3 linked regions of the Drosophila melanogaster genome follow. The protein of the gene in region 1 interacts with the protein of each later gene in a pairwise test. Each region holds a gene or a part of one and is shown in the gene's direction. Other genes may lie near its edges.

Evidence for each region. The genes of interacting proteins can lie anywhere in the genome.
Region 2: the proteins of CG8292 (region 1) and Jon25Biii interact in a two-hybrid assay, tested with the Drosophila melanogaster proteins (one large-scale study listed by BioGRID).
Region 3: the proteins of CG8292 (region 1) and Ama interact in a two-hybrid assay, tested with the Drosophila melanogaster proteins (one large-scale study listed by BioGRID).

What each region holds. Positions count from the first base shown.
Region 1 is NT_033779.5:8,213,708-8,219,564, reverse strand, and holds CG8292 (uncharacterized protein), read left to right. Parts: upstream 1-1,547; 5' UTR 1,548-1,665; coding exon 1,666-1,878; intron 1,879-1,940; coding exon 1,941-2,591; 3' UTR 2,592-2,714; downstream 2,715-5,857. Other genes in the region: Snx6 (sorting nexin 6), read left to right, coding at 1-203, 267-449, 694-711, 886-995, 1,061-1,154; CG8349 (uncharacterized protein), read right to left, coding at 2,726-3,162, 3,222-3,579; CG8353 (uncharacterized protein), read right to left, coding at 4,451-4,893, 5,078-5,147; CG8360 (uncharacterized protein), read right to left, coding at 5,565-5,784.
Region 2 is NT_033779.5:4,946,899-4,953,415, reverse strand, and holds Jon25Biii (jonah 25Biii), read left to right. Parts: upstream 1-2,648; 5' UTR 2,649-2,667; coding exon 2,668-3,444; 3' UTR 3,445-3,475; downstream 3,476-6,517. Other genes in the region: Jon25Bii (jonah 25Bii), read left to right, coding at 302-1,132; jet (jetlag), read left to right, coding at 3,743-4,518, 4,645-4,828; betaggt-I (beta subunit of type I geranylgeranyl transferase), read right to left, coding at 5,583-6,509.
Region 3 is NT_033777.3:6,760,007-6,768,303, forward strand, and holds Ama (amalgam), read left to right. Parts: upstream 1-2,586; 5' UTR 2,587-2,973; coding exon 2,974-2,990; intron 2,991-3,173; exon of another isoform or gene 3,174-3,510; intron 3,511-3,826; coding exon 3,827-4,835; 3' UTR 4,836-5,255; downstream 5,256-8,297.

The sequences.
Region 1 (5,857 bases):
AGAACGAGCTGCAGTTCCTTACCGAGTACCACGGCCACTTGCGCGAGGCAGCACTCAGGACGGAGAAAATGACGCAACGCCACAAGGATGTAGGCGACTCGCATCAGAAGATTTCGAATGCGTTGACGCAGCTCTCGACTACGGAAAAGGGAAATGTGGAGACGTTTGTGGCCAAGACAGCGGAGATATTTGAAAGGATCAAGGTGCGCTACGCTGCGTTTTCGCTATAATTATATTTTATAAATTTTCCTCTTGATATTTTAAAGAATCTGGAAACCCGAGTGGCTAGCGATCAAGATCTCAAGCTGGGCGACACTCTGCGCTACTATCAGCGGGATAGCGACGCTGCCAAAGCTCTACTTATCCGGCGACTGCGGTGTTTGGCTGCTTATGAAGCGGCCAATCGAAACCTGGAGAAGGCTCGCTCCAAAAACAAGGATGTTCATGCGGTAAGATTGAGGGATGATCACAACTAGTTCTTCCAGAACTATGTTTCAGATCGTTTAAAGAGCAATTGTTTTCCCTACAAAAAGTTTCCAGCGGGTCAATTAATTCTCACGCTTCACTAATTACAAATAACAAATTATTTGCGTTCTTGTATTTTATTGCTACCGTACACAACCTCACAACTCTCTGATCTGCCTGTCCCTCCCTCTTCACTTTTTGTGCGTGTTTGTGGTTCTGTTTCTGCAGCCGTTGGAGGTGCAAGAGGTATTTGGCATTTAACGTTTTAACCGTCGGTTTAGTAGATGTGTCGCCACCCCACGTAAATGCTGCATGCGCTCCACCGTTGCTCAATCTGTTGTATTCACTTTAGCATGCCCTTGCTGTGGCCCACTTGTTGTGTTCCCTGTATATAATCGTTTTTGTTTATCCTCCAATTAGGCCGAGACTGCCCAGGCGGAGGCCTGTGAAAAATTCGAATCTATGTCTGCATGTGGAAAGGAGGAGTTGATCGGTTTCCGCAACCGACGGGTAGCTGCTTTCAAGAAGAGGTGAGTCAGCAGCTGCTAAACATTTTGCTATGCTCTGCATTTTATTATCGCTTTTCTAAACACAGCCTCGTCGAGCTCTCAGAGCTGGAGATCAAGCATGCCAAGACGCAGTATGAATATCTGCGCCAATCACTGCTAGCGCTCAAAGAGATTGCCTGAGACGGGGAGCCGGAAGTAGACAAGGAATAGAAGGATGAGTCACCCGCACATTGTTTACACACCCCATTGAAACGCAAGCCTCATCGATTACACACATCCGGGAGACGAAGTAAATCAATTGTTTAATTGCTAAGCAAACAGTTTATTATTGCACAGGCCAAATCGAGTGCAACATTATTATCTTAGCCCACGTATTATATTAACGAATATTCATTTGTTTTGTGAACAGAGCGCTTTTATATTTGTCAAACAAGCATTCCTCTCTACAGCATAAACTACAACTACATATATTGTAAACACTTGCATTTGAAGCAGAATATAAACGAGAAATATTGTACAGAAGGCTGGCTGTTTGTGAGCAGTCAGTATACTAGCATTGTTTGGAGTCTATTCGGTAACTGGGCAACATCAAGGGTTTCCAAATTAAGCGTCTCAAGGGGTGCACATTTCCATTGTCGCTGAAAATTGTGTTTGTTGTCAGTGTTAGATAGATTTTCAAAGTCCATAAGCCATGGATGAGTTCGGCGTCTTCGATTACAAGCGCCCTGCCAGCGCTACAGATCCCGATTGGAGGACCTCGTACTATCGAGGGCATCGCCACATTACAGACTTGAGAATGGGTAACAAGCTGAACGCCAAGTTTACGGATAAGGGTATTTATGTAAAAGATCCGCTGCTGTCCGAGAAGCCGACTTCTGAGTGCATGGCCAACTATGTGTGGCAGGTGAGTTGATTGATATGCTGAGATATGTTGCACCAAACTAAAACGTGACCATGATGTTCCAGTATAACGATCCCAACGCACTTAGAAATCCCTCGCTCAACATGAAAACACAGTATATGAAACCATTTGAGGAGGGTTCCCTTCGCTTTGTAAAGCGAAAGATGAAGCCCATTTCTAGTGTCAGTCATGAGTCGTATGTACTTAAGGAGCTGCCGGAGGAACAGGAAATATTGCCTGTAACAATGCCCACTCCGGTGGTAGCCACCAAGCTAGTCATCGACCGTTCGGAGGCGTCCTTTAGCAAGTACCTTGATCCCTCCTCCACCACATACAATCTGTCGTATGTGCGCTGGGGTCCCGAGGACTTGTGTGGCGGAGTAGCTGCCCACGACAATATTACATACTGGAATTGGACGGAGAAGATGCCGCCCATCCAGAAAGTGTCCCGCGAAGAGGATCCTACAATGTGTGACGAGGGTAATACGCATAATTGCCCAAAGCGACGCTGTGAGTTTCAAAACCTCACCAAACGAGTGCCGCATTCGGGAATGGTCACCGAGGTGCGCGCTAATTTCACGGATCCACAATTTCGAAGGGTTGAATTCGATCCAGAAGTTAAGCCCATACTCGTGCACGAGGAAGTCACTCCGTTTGCGGAGAAAAGCGAATACGGCATCTACGGATCGGGAGAACCAGTTATCAAATACGTTTAGTTCTCTACACATTGTTTTGACTTTTTGTCAAGTTAATCAGATCGCTAACTTAAATTATTTGCAATACTTATTGACATTAGAACGAATAATTTTATTGCATTAAATAAATTCTGGATATTATTTAGATGAAAATTTCATTCAAATGAGTTAAAGCTGTGGGGAAGCAGATGGTAGGCGGACGTGACCAGCACTTCAGCTTCGTCCGGAATTGAAGGAATGCAGTTCTCTTGCTCCGGCGGCGGAGCCTTGGCAATGTAGATAGGAATATCATTTTGGATGAACTCCAAAATGAACTGCCGGCAGACTCCGCAAGGTGTGGTAAACCCATCTGGGTGATAGGCTACCACAGCACCCGCCGTATACTTCTTCTCGCCCTCGCTGATACCCTTGGCCAGGGCACAACGCTCCGCACAATTGCCTGGAGTGAAAGCTACGTTCTCGATGTTGCAGCCCGCGTAGATCCTGCCGCACTTCGCACGGAAGGCTGCTCCCACTTTGAATTTGCTGTAGGGCGCATAGGCACATCGACGGGCAGAAAGAGCCGCCTCTAGCAGCTCCCGGCCATCCTCACCTGGAGATTACGGTTTGATTACCAATGGCAGAGGATTCACCATTATAGCCAAGCCTTACCAACAGCACAGAACGCTACTGTGTACTCCTCCAACATCTGTGGATGTGGCAGGTTTTCGGATTCACTAGCCCGACCCCTGTCGCCATTTAGACGCGCCTCCCTGCGTGCTAGCTCGCATAGAAATCCCTCCAAGGTCATCATATACTTTCCCAGTACCTTTCGAAGATTCTTCTGGCGCAAGTTCTTGATCTTACCGCCAGCGCACTTGGTGCCAGATTGCTCCTGGCGACGAGCTAGCTTCGCCTGCAACATTTCCAGTTCCTTCATCTTCTTCTCCAGCTCTTTTCGCTTCAGCTCATCCTGTAGGTCGCTCAGGTTCCGCATGTAGCGCTGAAGGAGCTTCCGCTTTTCGGACATTTTGCAGAACTTCAAATTTTTAAAACGAAAACAATTTTTGAAAGCCAGAAGCAAATGCTGTATCTGTTGGCAATTTGTAAAACACTAATGTCAAACAAATTATTTTCTTTTTGTTTCTTTTTCATAAAAATGATTATATTATATTATTTAGCGCCATTTGAATTTTTATTACATTTATTACAGTTGATGTTCATTAAGGCATTTAATGAAACAACAACAACAACTAAATACGTTTAAAATTTTTACAAATTAAGAATGTCGAAAAAGCTCGCGCGTTTTCGACGCGTTTCGGACGCGTTTTGAACGCGCCTTTATCGCGACATCGGTCTAGCCAGTCTGTCTTATTGTTCGTATGAACATCATGATCTCAAAAACTAGAATCCAAAGGAATTGGAAACAAACCTTATAAATTTGATTTAAAAGATTGCCACTACCACAATGATCTTTCTTATTTTCGCTACTATACAAATGGCGAAATTTAATCTCACAATAATTTGGTGTTTATGAATCAGAAGTTGAGTGCATTTATCACGTCATCACAAATCGGGGCATTCCCTGCATTGCGCTTAACGTCAGCAGTTGTCAATCCAAATTCGATATCTTTAATTTATAACCTTAATTTTGATATATAATCAAAAGCGATTAAACACCTTTTCCTAGAATCTTTCACTGTGTCAATCTTTCCAGCATTTATATCCCCATTTCCTATTCATTGATCGAAAAAAAAACATTAAACACTGCTAAGTAGTGTAATTTTCTTTATTGCAAGTGATTAGATCAAAATTATATTGATTAGAGGCAGCAAGGGGTTGAGAAACAACCTTTACCTAGCTACCTTCTGCCTATTTTCGGTTCTTGCCTGCAGTGGTCGTTACTTTCGATAGGTGTGAAAACTGCTCGGCAACAGATTAAAGATTGAGGTGCACATGACGGGATCGTCACTCTGCAAAAGTTCCTGCTTTTCAGCAATCCTCGCATCGATCGCCTGGGCCACATATATGGGTATATCCGCGTTGGCAAACTCGCGTATAAACTGACGACAAACGCCGCAAGGAGTGGTGAATACATTAGGTTCGTAGGCCAAAACAGCACCTGCCAAAAATTCGGTGGCTCCTTCGCTTACGGCCTTAGCAATGGCCGTTCTCTCGGCACAAGAGCCCGGCGTAAAGGCGGCGTTTTCCACATTGCAGCCAGTGAAGATCTTTCCATCGACCTTGGCCCGAAAAGCAGCCCCAACTTTGAAGCCACTATATGGAACGTATGCCCGCTGGCGCACTTGAAAAGCAGCTGTCAGAAGTTCTTGAACCGACGGATCTGGAAGTCGAAACAATGCACGCCACGCTCAAGAATTAAACTTAGATCTTGTCAATGAGTGTAAGGAGTATTAATTTATAACATTATTATTTTTAATATCATAAGAACCACTTTGAATAATTGACAGTCGTAGATATTTAAGGATTGTTCTCAGATTGTTCTCAATCTCGAGAAGGAATCTTACCCAGACTGCCGAAGGTCACAACCTCCTCATTCTTTTCTGGACGTGCGAAATTTTTTGTCAGATGTGTCATTATAGTTCAATTCTTTTGGTCAATAGAGGCACGCCTATTTTCTTAAATTTTGAATTATTTTTAGCAAGTTGAGTGCGTGTGTTTCTCCTTTGAACGTCCGATGGCAAATGGACGGTTTGTGGTGACGGCGGCGCCCGAAGTTGGCTATGCTGATAGCACTCTCCGCCGTGTAGTGGTGACAGAAATAAACATTTGGCCAATTCGGAGCGCGAGAGAGAACCAGGTATCAGGCTGATAAGCAACGATCGCGATCGCGGAGAGCAGTGAAAAACACAAACAGATGCCGTATCTCGTATAAGCTATTCAATCAACAAATAACGAGGGGTGGGTTTACAGAACATTATAAATGGGATGTCACATAAACTATTGCACATGGATTGCACCCTGTCCGGCTGGGCTGGGCTGGGATATTCTTTTCTATTTTCCGTTGGCGAAGCTAAAGCCGTTGGGCAGCAGTTGGAGAACGCTGGTGCAGAGCACCCTCAATGGAAGATTGGTCGGCTTGGCGGCGTACAGGGGGATGTCCTTGCCGTTGACGAACTCCGAGAGGAACTGCCGGCAGACGCCACAAGGCGTGGTGAAGCCATTATCCTGCTGGGCCACCACTGCACAAGCCACAAAGTCGCGTTTGCCTTCACTGTAAAAATGTGTTATTTTAGTTATTCGAAAGGACTTGGAGAGGATAATTAAGTATGTAAGAATTTAAGTAA
Region 2 (6,517 bases), 3.3 Mb from region 1:
ATAGGGTCGGACAATCTTCTAATGAATGAGTGGCAGTGGGCAATCGTCAGATTGAGTGGTGGCAAGTCATGAGCCGGAAAGTGTCCAAATCGGATGGGTAGATCATTGGAGTACCCTGTAATGATAGTGCCGCATTTTGGAGGCGTGCGAAATTAATTTGATAAGATTAGTCCGACCGGAGTGTTTAGAACTTTCGAGTGGCGAATGGTGAAGATCTCTAGCGATATGAATACGTCGGATTTGGGGGGTATATAAATCACTGCCCGTCGGCGGAGTATCCACTTGCACTCAAGTAATCAACATGAAGCTGTTCCTAACTGTCCTGGCCGTGGCCATTGCCTGCGCCGCCGCCCAGCCTGAGAAGGTGAAGCCGGTGCCCCTAAAGGACGCCGTCCTGGGATCCGGATCCGGCTCGATCGAGGGTCGCATTACCAACGGCTATCCCGCCTACGAGGGCAAGGTGCCCTACATCGTGGGTCTGGGCTTCAGCAGCGACAGCGGTGGCTGGTGGTGCGGTGGCTCGATCATCGGTCACACCTGGGTGATCACGGCTGCCCACTGCACCCACGGAGCTCACTCCGTCACCATCTACTACGGTGCTCTGTGGCGCCTCCAGGCTCAGTACACCCACACCGTGGGCAGCGGCCACTTCCGCCAGCACTCGGACTACAACACCAACAACCTGAACAACGACATCTCGCTGATCAACACCCCGCACGTGGACTTCTGGCACCTGATCAACAAGGTGGAGCTGCCCGATGGCAACGAGCGCCACGACAGCTTTGCCGGCTGGTGGGCTCTAGCCTCCGGATGGGGCAGGCCTTGCGATAGCTGTGGCGTCTCCGACTACCTGAACTGCGTGGACTCCCAGATCATCACCCGCGACGAGTGCTCCAGCGTCTATGGAACCGATGTGATCACCGACAACGTCATCTGCACCTCCACCCCCGGCGGCAAGTCCACCTGCGCCGGCGACTCTGGCGGCCCACTGGTCCTCCACGACCGCTCCAAGCTGGTCGGTGTCACCTCCTTTGTGGCCGCCAGCGGCTGCACCTCGGGCCTGCCCGATGGCTTCACCCGCGTCACCAGCTACCTGGACTGGATCCGCGACCACACTGGCATCTCCTACTAATTTCGTTCTCGAAATAAACCCTTCTGCATTTAATAGATAATTGTTTTTTAATTCGATAGTTTAAATTTAAGGAATGGGGAAACTAAAATGGATTATCTTAAGGATCAAGATACTTGATTTTGTATGGTTTAGATTGATTTTCGATATCTTCATAGAATGTTTTCATAGAATACGAATGATATGGTTTCCAATTTATTATTATTTATGATTAAATGTTAAGCCTCATATTTAAATTAAATCAGAAAGATAAGTAGTGTTATAAGTTATAAAGAATTGCGTATTTCATTTGTTGTTAGTGCCAGTCTAGTTTATTTCTCTTACTATCTCAGTTTTCTATCAATTGATTTGGAGGGATTTGTTTATTTTTCAGACCTACCTTCGATAAGATTAAAGGGTTTACGCATGTGGCTAAAATCTCCATTTTGTTTAACTTGTTTATAATAAATAAAATTTTCCTTCATTTAAATAATGATAATTTATATTTCAGTTTTTCTTAGAATATTAAATACAGATGTATATTTTGTTTCTGTTTTATTTTGGATATATTTTTGTAAGTATTAAAACGATTGGATAGTTTAGAAACTTTAAGCAAAAGCTATATATAATAGCAAGCAAATAATAATTTACAGATTTGTACTAGATTTAATCTTATCTTCAATGACAGCTAACTTTTTTAGTAATTTTGACAATTTTGCTGTAAAGAAGTTCAATCAGCATTTTTATGAAAATAACACACAAGTTTTTAACATTTTTCCAACACCTATTTTATTATCACTTTCAAACATTTGTTTACACTTGAACAATAATTGTAAACTATTTTATTTTTAAGCACTTGTAATTCTTGTTATCAAAAACCTGTGAGTATATAGGGTTATCATACACTTGTGCATCAAGTTTTGGTTTGTTGTTGTTCTTATTAATTGTCTATTAAATTAATAATAGTCGAGAATCCTTCAGCCTAACTTGGCAACAGTTAGTAATAGATTTGAAAACAAGCGGAAAACCTCCAGCCATTATTACAGATTATCCTTATCAGGACAAAAAGCAGACATACATTTTATGTAAAAGTTAACAAACAACTTTATTGAAAATCATTCCTGTCCAAAGATCATTGTAAATTTTAAGTTCTGAAAAATGATGATAAGATAGAATGGTCTGCGCAAAGGTTGACAAATATATATTTTATAATTATGAATAAAACTACAAACATATTTGATTAGCCACAAAATATTATTCCATTTAGATAGATAATAATTTGGCTGTTTATTGCTGCATACTTAATATATGGTAAATAATAAAATAATATAATATATATAAATATATATAGTCTAGTGGGGGGGGTCTAGTCCCCCCTAGAGTTTCTTTGATTTCTACTACTGGCTTGGTAGAGTGGTTCCTCCATTCTTATCGATGACATCGTTTATGGGAGTCTTGAGGATTATTTACGAGCCCTTTTCGAGTTGCAGATATGGTTTTAGCTGAAAATGTGTATAAAAGGCTGCCATCCGAGAGTAGAATCCAGTATAAACATCAGCATGAAGGTGTTCCTAGCTATCCTGGCTCTGGCCGTGGCTTCGGCCTCCGCCTTCGACGAGAAGGTCTTCGTAAAGGACCTGCCCAAGGCCACCAAGATTGAGGGTCGTATCACCAACGGATACGCCGCCCCCGAGGGTAAGGCTCCCTACACTGTGGGTCTTGGCTTCAGCGGAGGCTGGTGGTGCGGTGGCTCCATCATCGCCCACGACTGGGTCCTGACTGCCGAGCACTGCATCGGAGATGCCGCTTCCGTGATCGTTTACTTCGGTGCCACCTGGCGCACCAACGCCCAGTTCACCCACACCGTTGGCAACGGCAACTTCATCAAGCATTCCAACGCTGATATCGCCCTGATCCGCATCCCCCACGTCGACTTCTGGCACATGGTGAACAAGGTGGAGCTCCCCAGCTACAACGACCGTTACAACAACTACAACGAATGGTGGGCCGTCGCTTGCGGATGGGGTGGCACCTACGACGGCAGCCCACTGCCCGACTGGCTGCAGTGCGTCGATCTCCAGATCGTCCACAACGAAGAGTGCGGCTGGACCTACGGCAGCGTTGGCGACAACGTCATCTGCACCCGCACCGTCGACGGCAAGTCCATTTGCGGAGGTGACTCTGGCGGTCCCCTTGTCACACACGACGGCTCCAAGCTGGTGGGAGTTAGCAACTTCGTCTCCTCCAACGGCTGCCAGTCGGGTGCTCCTGCTGGATTCCAGCGCGTCACCTACCACTTGGACTGGATCCGTGACCACACTGGCATCTCTTACTAATTTTTCTAAATAAATCGATCATTTTAAAAGCAATACGTTTCGAGAGTATATAAATCGGGGTCACCAACAAAATGTATGTGTTCTACACTTGTTTTACGCAGTGTAAAACAAATTTTACTCGTGTGTAGAAACCACGGCGTAAGATTACACAAATAATTTTTGTAGCAGTTTTGTGTGAATGCCAAAGCAACAGCTGATTGCTATCAAGTAAACAATTAATTACGTTTTTGCCGTGCACCAAAGGATTGAGTTGGGAGTGCTTTGTTGGTGCGTAGATCACGTAACCGGAGGCGGCAGCATGTGCACTCTGCACCCCGAGGAGGAAGCTCACCTGATGGCCATGGCCAGCGGAGGACAACCAACGCGTACGGCCAGTCCAAGGCCATTGGTCACCGCCTCCATTGCAGCACCACGATCGCTGTTTGATGTCTGCTGGGACGATGTGCTCATCCCGCAGGTTGCCGTCTACCTGTCGCTCAAGGATCTCTTCAACCTGCGCTGCTGCTCCCGTACCGCACAACGCTTTGTGGAGGCTGCGCTGGAAAAAAGGCAGGAACTTCATCTCTCTGGGAACAACACAAAGAATATCGACGTGGCCTTTCGAGTGCTGGCCCGATGTTGCCAACGATTGGAGGTGCTTCATCTGGCCTGCTGCCGATGGCTAACAGATGAGCTGCTGCTGCCACTGCTGGCCAACAACAAGAAACGCCTGTGGGCCGTCAACCTGAACGAATGCGTCAACATCACGGCCCTTTCGCTGCAGCCGATCATAGTGGAGTGCAAGGAGCTGCGCGTACTCAAGCTGTCCAAGTGCCAGTGGCTGACCACGGGAGCAGTGGACGCTTTGACGCTGCACCAAAGCAAGCTGGTGGAGTTCGACATCTCCTATTGCGGCGCAATTGGAGAGCGCTGCTTGATTATCTTCTTCAGGAAACTTAACAAGCTCACCGTCCTGTCGCTGGCAAATACGCCCAGTGTCACCGATCAGGTGCTCATCCAAATCGGGAACTATTGCCGCGAACTGGAGCACATCAACGTGATCGGGTGTGCGGCTATCTCCGACTATGGCGTGCAGTAAGTAATACTCGTAGTTATCCCTAAAAGCTGTTGTCATATTGTCAGTAAACCTGTGCGTGCCTTGTGTCTGTGTGTTTCTGGGGAAACCAATCTCCATCTGCATCCGCATCTGCGTATTTTCAGCGCTTTGACAGTGCACTGTTTGCGGCTACGGACCTTGCTCATTCGACGTTGTCCGCGGGTCACAGAACTCTCCCTGGCGCCGCTCCGCCAGCGGCGTCTTTACATCGATAGGCCACAGCCGGATGTGGGGCTCAACGCTTACAACTTGAACGACTTCTATCCCAGCGATTTCCTTGTTTACTAGCCCACACTTCGTTCTCCCTCTTCCGCAGTGCCCTCACCTCCAGTTGCCCGCTGCTGCAGTCACTGATGGTGCAGCGCTGCCCATTGGTCACCGAGCGTGTGCTCGCCCCACTTCGTGGACGGGTCCACATCGATCGGCCCGGCATGGGCTACATGCCAACTGTGCAACATCACCGCCTGTTCCTGCAGGTTTGAGATTAATTCTGATTCCGGGCCAATATTACCAATGTACCAAGGAGGCTTTCGAGGCTATCCAATACTTTTGCTGTAAATACATGCCTCAGCATGGGACGCTTTAATTTACTTTTAAGCTTAATCTTACACATTGTTAACATTAATTTAGGCTGTACAATAAACATACTAACTTATTCATCTCTCTCTCCAAAAGCTCGAGCTTTTTGCATTAAAATACATGTAAACCAGAAAGTAAGCTAGAATCGGCAAGCCGAAACTTATATACCCTTGCAGTAATTATAACATTTATACCGATTAAAAACAACGACCCGTTCATGCAGATTGCTAAACTAAGAGACTATTTGGCATAGAAACTGACAGACGGACATGGCCGTATCGACTCCGCTGGTGATACTGATATATAGTTTATATGGTCGCAAATGCCTCATCCACTGCGCTACAAACTTTTCGATAAAATAAATATACTAACTGCAAGGGCATAAAAAGCGTGGCTAAAATGTGGCCAATATAAATACAATAGTGTGCTTTAACTTTCCCCTCGTGCTTTGTGCGGCTTCCCATCATTGTGCTGAAATTAATGGCGAGTTAGAGGTAGTTGTTGTGGATGTCGCCTCGACCCCCTTTGACAGGTGGAGTTGTTGCTTGAATGCAGAGCTTACACTAATATCCTCGTCGCCTCGGCCATCTGCGGACCGCCACTGCTCATGCAGATGCTGCAGGTGAGCGTAGGCGGCCATGGACATGTTCAGACTGGGATTCACGGGGCTTAGCCCAGGTTCACCCGTGAAAGCTAGTCCGCAGAGACCGAGGTATGTGTGAAACGGATCAGGCGTGGCTTGCGGCCACTTGGCAAAGCCCCCAATGAGCTTATCCTGTGTGCTCAGAATGAATTCTCGGTTCCGGGCATAATCGGTTAGTTCGAAGCCGTCCAGAATACATAGCGATGCACCAATCCAGAAGGAATAACAAGTATCCACTGGCTTATTGGGGCGTCCTTGGAATCCATCCATCTGGCGGAAAATGAGCCAACGCTTCATTCGCTCCACCGTCGTGGCATCCAGGCGATGCAGTTGTCCACTAAGATGCAACGCCGCCAAGGCACAGAATGTGGTGCCGCCATGGGCCTCCCCCTCCAGCTCTTGGCTGAAACCGTAATCGTATCGCAGGCTCCGAGTGATGAACTGAAACATGGTCTCCTTGTTGACATCGCCCCAGTAGTCCAGCATGTAGCATATGGTGGCGGCACAATAAACAAATCGCATATCATCCTCGCTGCCATCGATGCAGGCGCTAAAACTGCCCTCAGGCTTCTGAACAGCAGCCACTCCGTCCACAATGCTTTTCCGATCCAGTCGGGACAAATCATCGCCCAGGGTGACCAGCACTGCGAGACTGGTGTACGTCATGGCCAAGTGGCCCCACTGGTAATTCCGCATGCACTCCAAGATCTCGGCGTCCTCGGTTTTGGGCACCATGGCGCGGCAGCCCTGCAAAG
Region 3 (8,297 bases), on another chromosome or scaffold:
TGAATTGAACAAAATGTGCACTTTGTAGTTTATTCTGTTACATACTTCCGCTATTAATAACTACATTATTCAATCTTAGTATCGCGAGATATATAAGGACTTGGGACAAAGAATAAGGATGGTGGAGATCGAGTTTGTTTTTCCAAATGATCTCAAACGGCTACGTACGAAAGAAAATATCATATAATCGTTTTGTAAGACAGCATATAGTGCTTGCTATATGTACCTGTTAGGCAGTGCATTATAAAATGTATTAGAAGAATAAAAGGTAACCAGTTGTCGAGTTAATTAGCTGTAGCGTTCGATTCTTTTGTTAATTTTTTTTAAGTTGTTCTACTCATTTCTGATGTTAAGCTAGGATTGGCAATTATTATTTTCAGGCTCCATATTTGGAAAATTCGATATGTTTAGCGTTGAAGAATATTGTGTAAATATCTACAAGCATTAAGTTGCTCAGTGCATTGGCCCAAGCTTTAACATTTTAAAACACACCCAACGAGCCAGTTGACCTTTAAGCAAGTGTCGCAAGGCCTTAAGTGAAATATTTTTTAATGACATTTGCCAAATAATTGTCGTGTTTGCTTTTGGGATCTGGCAGGAGCTTGTTGCTGTTGGCCGGGCTTTGCTGCTTCTGCCGCTGCCAACTGGCAACAAAAGTCAATTCACAGACACTCCAGTCGACGGAGTCGGAGTGCAGCCAAAAGGCAAACAAAATACGTTCGCATAGGCAAAGCCCAAGGATACACACAAAGGTACAGTGGTTGCTCTGACTACAAATACAAATTAAACAGGGCCAGAGCTTTAATACCAATTCGATACCATTGCAACAACAGCATTTCAAATGCTACTTTTTTATATCAGATAAAGATAGGTAGAAAAGGCTATATTTACGTTAAAGGCAAGCTGATATTTTAGAAATTTATTCAAAAACAAAATTAATTACTTTGACACATAATATTGTATTTAGTCATCTGACTAGAAACTAGAAATCTCTGAATGTAACGAAGTTCTGTGCATTCTTACAAATATTACAAAAAGTATCTGCTAGATACCACTGTGCGGAACTGGGCCACAAATTCAGACGCAGTGTGTGACAAAGGACTTCTCCCTTCCCCGCTCGGCGACCCTGAATGCTGAATGCCCCCGTGTGTGCCGCTGCTGAAGCGAAACACCCAAAGAGTCACTGACAGAAACAGGATTCGGGTAATAAATTACAAAATTTGACATTTTCTGTTTTGGATCCGCTTGCGCCTGAATGCGAGCGGCAGCCCTCTCTGTCGCACGCCGTCTAGCCGTCTCTTTCGTTCGGTTTCGGTGTGTGTCCAGTTCGGTCGGGCCAAGTCGAGCGTTGCATGAAGCAGCCGGACCTGCCAGGACCTGGACCAGGACCTGAACCTGCATCCAAGAGGCATCGCCGCAATGGTCATAATGACGCTGCCGGGATGCAGCTGAGGACAAGGAGAGCCGTCAGTGGGCAGCGAGAAAGGGACGGAATAGAAGCGCCCTATGCGGTCCGTTGATAGTTAACTGGAAATTTATTATTTTACACAATTTACAATTATCTGATTCGAATGTGCACTCAGCGACGAGGATTCCGGCAGATGGGCAGTACGAGTGAGAGTGCGGGGGTCCAAGTTCGGACGACAGATGCAGTTGTCCTCCCATGGGAACGGCCTCATTTCAGCAGAAGTCACCGAAACGATTTAAGATGTGATTTAATTTTCCAGAAACTGTGGCCATAGTTTCGTCGCTCTTCGGGGGAATTTCTTCGCCAGACAGACAGCGTCGTCATCAATCATCTCGCAGAGTAAAGCCGGGTTAACCTCGATGGGTTTTAGGGGGAAACTTGGCCCGGGGCTGATCAGGAATCAGGCTGGAAATATGAAAATTAAATGCGTTTGGGCAGCAGAAAGTTTTCGAATGGTTCGGTGCTTATACAACAAGTGAAATTTTGCACATCAAACGGCCTTTGACCACATTTAATCCTTAAATCATCTGCCATAGGAACTAATTGATCGAGATCCAGACACATATTAAACACATCAATATATATACACAAATATAATCAATATAGACTATGTTATATTTCGACGTTTCCTATCCTCGTATGCTGTGAGTACACATATTAACCTTCAGCCGTGTAAAGAAATTTCTACGAACAGCCAAGTTAAAGGTACCCAAATTTCCCGAATACTGCTCTTTAAATATCCTTCAGAATTTCCCAGCATGGCTGAACCAGGACTCGATTCAAGTTCCACCCAATGCCTTGTACACCACCCCGTTGTTTTTGCCTTTTCGCGCATGCGCCCCTGCTCCGGCGCAAAAGAGACAGCACTAATGAGACGGCGCTGGGATCGCTGGCATTTCCAGAGCGGCTAGGATATTCCAGGGACCGCTCGTAATCGTTGCTGTTGTTGTTAGCCGCCAGCGGAAAGTAGTGCGCCATGCCATAAATCACACAAATGGGTAGAGTTCCAACTTTCCCACCCCGCCGCTGCTCCTTTTATTGTCCTTCCACGAACCCCGAAACGTTTATGGCCAAATGGCGGCACGAATTTGAATTTGAATTTCGCACGCGGTCTCTCAGTTCGCCTGCGGCCGCTTTCGCTGGCGCTTTGTTTTTGCAACTGACCGCTTATCTTGGGGCGGGGGCTGTCAAGTGGGCGGGGCAGGAGGGCCACAGGCAGAGGCATAAACAACAGCAGCGAGCAGCAAAACAAATCAATTAAAGACCAGAAGGAAAGTGCATTGATAACTGAGCCCGAAGTCAAACTCACGCACAAGTAAACAATTTAAATACGAACTAAAATGCAAACACAGATACAAAATACAGATAGAGATACTGAACAAACACAGATACAAATACTGTGAAGGCGACAATGTACATAACCGAGGGGTGATAAGATCCAAAACGTCGATGACTTCTTCATCGGCAAATACACTGAAAAAAGCTGTTACTAATTATTAAAAAATATGCAATATAATAAAAGGTAAACTATTTTTTTTACTAAATTTTAAACTATTTACTAAACACTGCCATTTAAAATCTTTTTTCACATCCTTAACTACAAAAAAATTAATTTTAAATCAAATTGATTTCGTTTACCTGGCTATTCATTAAAAAAAAAAATAAGTATTGATATATCGGAAAACTAAGTTATCTCCGTTTTTACCAGTGTATCCATTAAGAAGCAACGTTGTCTAGACACAGCCGCGGTAATCAATCATAATGGTGTCTATCTGCTTCATTCTCGCGGTGTACAAATTTCGGGACTTTCCTTGAGAAACCGAGCCATCGACGTCGGCGCGTCAGGAAGAATACAAAAATAAGAACCCGATTCTCAGAACCTCAGCAGAGATACGGATTTTTGAGCCGAGCTCGGTCGCCTCTTTCAATTCAGTCGAGTCCCGAACGCGAAGTGAAGCGCATTGAACCCACATTGAACTGAGAGATAGTCGAGGAAAAAGAGTCACAAAATCAACAGCAACATCCTGTAAATAAACAGAAATGTATGAATTATATTAAAATAAGACGATAAAGCTGAAAAGTGTGTACAAGCCTTATAAATGTTTCAAAACGAGTGTGTGTGCAGAATTCTTTCCTTCTTATTTACTTTTGAAAGATACTTTTAAAGATATACTTGTGACCTTTAAATTATTATTCTATAATTGAACCTAGTTTTAGTTTATTATATTGAATTCGAAGATGGGTTAAAAATGGCAGTTCTCCATTACATACGAAATATTTAGAATGGCTAACGCGATCAAAAGACTCAACATAAAGTGATACACTAATAAATCTCAAATCTATTTTGATTTCTTACAGACCAGACATGGCGCGTCTGCGGCTTCTAATCGGTCTTATATTCTGCCTTGCGATCAGCTTGGATTCGGTGCTTAGTGCCCCAGTGATCAGCCAGATCAGCAAGGACGTGGTGGCCAGTGTGGGCGACTCTGTGGAGTTCAACTGCACCGTGGAGGAGGTGGGACAGCTCTCGGTGAGCTGGGCCAAGCGTCCCAGCGAGTCGGACACCAACTCGGTGGTGCTCTCCATGCGGAATATCCTCAGTCTGCCCGACCAGCGGTACAACGTAACGGTCACCGAAGGACCCAAGACCGGAAGTGCCATTTACACCTTCCGCATTCAGAACATCGAAGTCAGTGACATGGGTCCGTACGAGTGTCAGGTGCTTGTTTCGGCCACGGAGAAGGTGACCAAGAAGCTGAGCCTGCAGATCAAGACCCCGCCGGTGATTGCGGAGAACACCCCCAAGAGCACCCTGGTGACAGAGGGACAGAATCTGGAGCTGACCTGCCATGCCAATGGCTTTCCCAAGCCTACGATCTCCTGGGCCCGCGAGCATAATGCAGTGATGCCTGCCGGTGGCCATTTGCTGGCCGAACCAACTCTCCGGATTCGTTCCGTGCACCGGATGGATCGCGGCGGCTACTACTGCATCGCGCAGAACGGAGAGGGCCAGCCGGACAAGAGGTTGATCCGGGTCGAAGTGGAGTTCCGTCCGCAGATTGCCGTCCAGAGGCCCAAGATCGCCCAAATGGTGTCCCATTCCGCGGAGCTGGAGTGCTCCGTGCAGGGCTACCCGGCTCCGACTGTAGTTTGGCACAAGAATGGCGTGCCCCTGCAGTCTAGCCGGCACCACGAGGTGGCCAACACCGCCTCCTCCTCGGGAACCACAACCTCTGTGCTGCGCATCGATAGCGTGGGCGAGGAGGACTTTGGGGACTACTACTGCAATGCCACCAATAAGCTGGGACACGCCGATGCGCGACTGCATCTCTTCCAGACCGTCATCCCAGTGCCCTCCTTGTCGTAATAAGCCCTCAACGTCTGATTTCCATTCCCACGCAACAAGACTGGAACCCTCACTTTCTCCTCTCGTCTCGCTTTTTCGGCAATTCGCCAGTCCGGATGCGGTCTGTGTTTATATTATTAATGATTCATTCAATTAGCTCCCATTCAGACTTCATTATTTTCGGACACACTTGAGATCGAGCCACCGCTTGTGCCTTATGAATTTTGCTCTGCATCCGTCGGCTTGTGCAAACACACATTAATATGCTTAAGTAAATAACGTTCTCTGATAAAGTTTAATCGGTCTTTTCCTATGTGGTTGGGTTGGCTTGTATACGGTGTAAGTTAAATACCATGAGAGAATAAACACCTCTTGAAGCAACGAATTAAAGGGTTTGTCATTCAATAAAACTAAGCCAGGAGACAAGGCATTGTCAAAAGTATTTCATTGTTTTATCGAGAGGGAATCTAAAAATATATGGTAAGTGCAGATATAAATGAAAAATTAATCACTTCTAAACAACACCCAATGCTCCATGGATCTTATTAATTTATAACAATAAACAATTCAAACTTTACACTTTAAAAGCCACAGTTTCGTTAGAATGATGGCTAGAACATCCAAATCTTTTAAAAATCCATTAACTTTTTTGGATGCCACTTTCCAAACCCTAAATAACAGATCTTTCAAGATCTTCTTCCTTAAAGCTGCCATCTGAGTCCGCAAGGTCCCACCTTGACACCAAAAACAGCATGTAACCTCCATTCTGAGCTGGTATTCCAACGGTTAACGCTGCCGAAGTCATTTGCCAAAAAGTTAACCGAGCCCGCTCAAAGTGCCACAGCGTTTAACTCTTCAATCATGGTTAAAAAATGGCAGTCAGTTGTTCACCTCTTGACGTAAACACTCACATGGTCAAAATGCGGAGTGGGTTGTGTGGCGAAAAGTGAACCCGAATGTAAGTTGTTCATTGTAATTGAGAAAAATGCGAGGCATTTGTAAGGCGGTCCAACGAGCTGGGTCTGCCACTGGTACATGAACTATTCGGGAGCTTGTGCGGGGATCCAGTCCAGAGTGCCCAAAGGACTCCATTATGGCCGGAGCACATTAGTTTAACTAAATCCCCAACCCGGCTCATCGCTCACTAAAATCAACACTTGCTAATGACTTAATTGTTTCCATTAGAAACCCGTTGCTGGAATACATTTGGCAAATTTTTCATCCTCGCTCCTGGCTCCTTTTTTCACATGTCCTGCTGGCTTCCCTTCCTGCGGACACCCCTCGAAATGAATCCTGGCTAAATGTCTGTCTTTATTGTAATTGGTATTGTTGCTGCTACTCGCACGCATTCGAGCCTGAAGTCCAGGGACAACACGTGCGTCCTCGTCTGAAACTCCCAGCCCCGCATCCGACCTCCCATTCCGTCGTCCTTTGGCCAGGACATCATTTCATTGTCTGCCGGGGCCGGAGGTTGAGGCCTCTGCGGCAGGAGCAGAGCAACATGGACGTCGACGTGACTTTTATTGATTTTCGGACCAAAACCTCCCCTGAGAGAGAGTCGGCAAAAGTCGATTGGAACGCCAGACGTGAGACTCTGGCCAGTTTAGGGGTGGAAATCGGGTTTTTCCTTGCCGCCACCCTGCCGCAGAAAATGGCAACAGTAAGGCCTGGCTAAGGAGCCCGACAAAGGCTTCAAAGAGAGCCCACTTCAGTTCCACCTCCACCAGAGAATTCCAGCCTGATGGAGGCGGATGTGAAGCCAGAGTTAACGCCTGCGCAGTTCCGTCAAATGGTTACCTTAGGACCAGTGATGACATCCTAGAAGCTTTTCGGCATCCTCTGACCTTAAAATACTATAAAGATATTGATAAAATATAATGTTATAAGCGAAATAAAATATATTATAATATATATATATATATATATATACATATATATATATTCTAATATAATTATAATATTATTATAATATATATAATAATTATTATTATAATTATAATAATATAATAATAAATAATTAGAAAACCTTGTTAGAAAGAAACCATTTATTAAAAATGTTGTCGAACTTTTTAAACTTACGAACCTACACATATTCAGCAAATAAAACTAAAAGAATGTCATCACTGCTTCCGACTTGCACTTTTATTGGATGCTGTTACTGGAACCTGGAATCAGAATCCGCCGACAATCTCTGGATTCCAAAACGAACCGCCTCCACAGACGGACGGTCATTCGGCTGGGATCTTTTGGCCAGGATGCAGTGGCCCAGATTCCGCGGCTCCAGCGCCCATTTTCCAACTGTTTCCACATCCTCAACGACGAACGCGGTTGTAAACAAAGGCCGTGGTGTTGGTTTTACGAGTTGATGATGGCTGGTGATGATGATGCTCGGCTCTGTGACTCAAGGAGCTGTCATCGCAATAAAACGCGGGCAGCGGCACGTGAAATTCGATTGGGTGAGTATCTCGTTGAAGATTTGACAAAGCCACCAAATTGTTTGCTGAAGTGAAATAAGATTTTGGTGTTTTAAGACTGTGTTTATAGTGGGGAGTGCTTGAAAAATATCATAAAATGTTTGCTAATTTGAAAAAATTTGATCAGCCATTGACTTGGATTAGAAGAACTCCAAATCATTTATGAAAAAGTTAGTTTGAGTTGAGTGAATATCGACTACATTGTCAAGTACAGGCTTTTTGGCAACTGTGTATTTGGCATGTCGCCAGAAATGCAAGCCTTAAATGTATCTGGTAATTTGCCAAGAACGAGTTATGTGATCCATTCTGTTCTTGGCTTATCTGTAAAAACCATTTACTTTGATGAATAACTACTATTGCTTCATGTTTTAAATTGTTAATATAAGCTACCTACACACTTGGTAGCATAATCAAAATCCTTCTCGGTAAATCATTAAAGTTAAGTCCATTTAGCTTTTAAATATTTATCAAACTTTCGGATTAGTTACTTGATTAGAATTCTCAGGTTTCACACGTTTTGAGTTCCACCCTAGCAGAACTATATACCTAGACACTAAACAATTTCAGACCTATCATAATTAAAATATTTATATCCGTAAAGGGAATCTCTAGATTCGATGAACGTGTTAAACAGTATCGAAAGTAGTTTCATCTATTATGCACGCGACGATAATCACTAGCCGAGTCTCCCTACCATTTCCGTCTATCCCTTTTAATTATGGGAGTTATCAGCACAAGGACGAGATGTTAAAATACTTACAGATCCCTCAAAAGAAATTCGTATAATGTTTTGACATTTTCTCTATATTCCAAAATATGTCTTTTATAAAAATCCACTCATGGTAATAAAATTAATTATATGATTCAAGATGGTATTATATTTTAATAATACATAAAGTTTGTAACAAACTTAGTAAATAAATAAATGAACTGATATTTCATTCCAATATTTTCATTAAAATAAAAGACAAATTGTTGGAAATGAAAAATATATAAAATTGTATGAGCC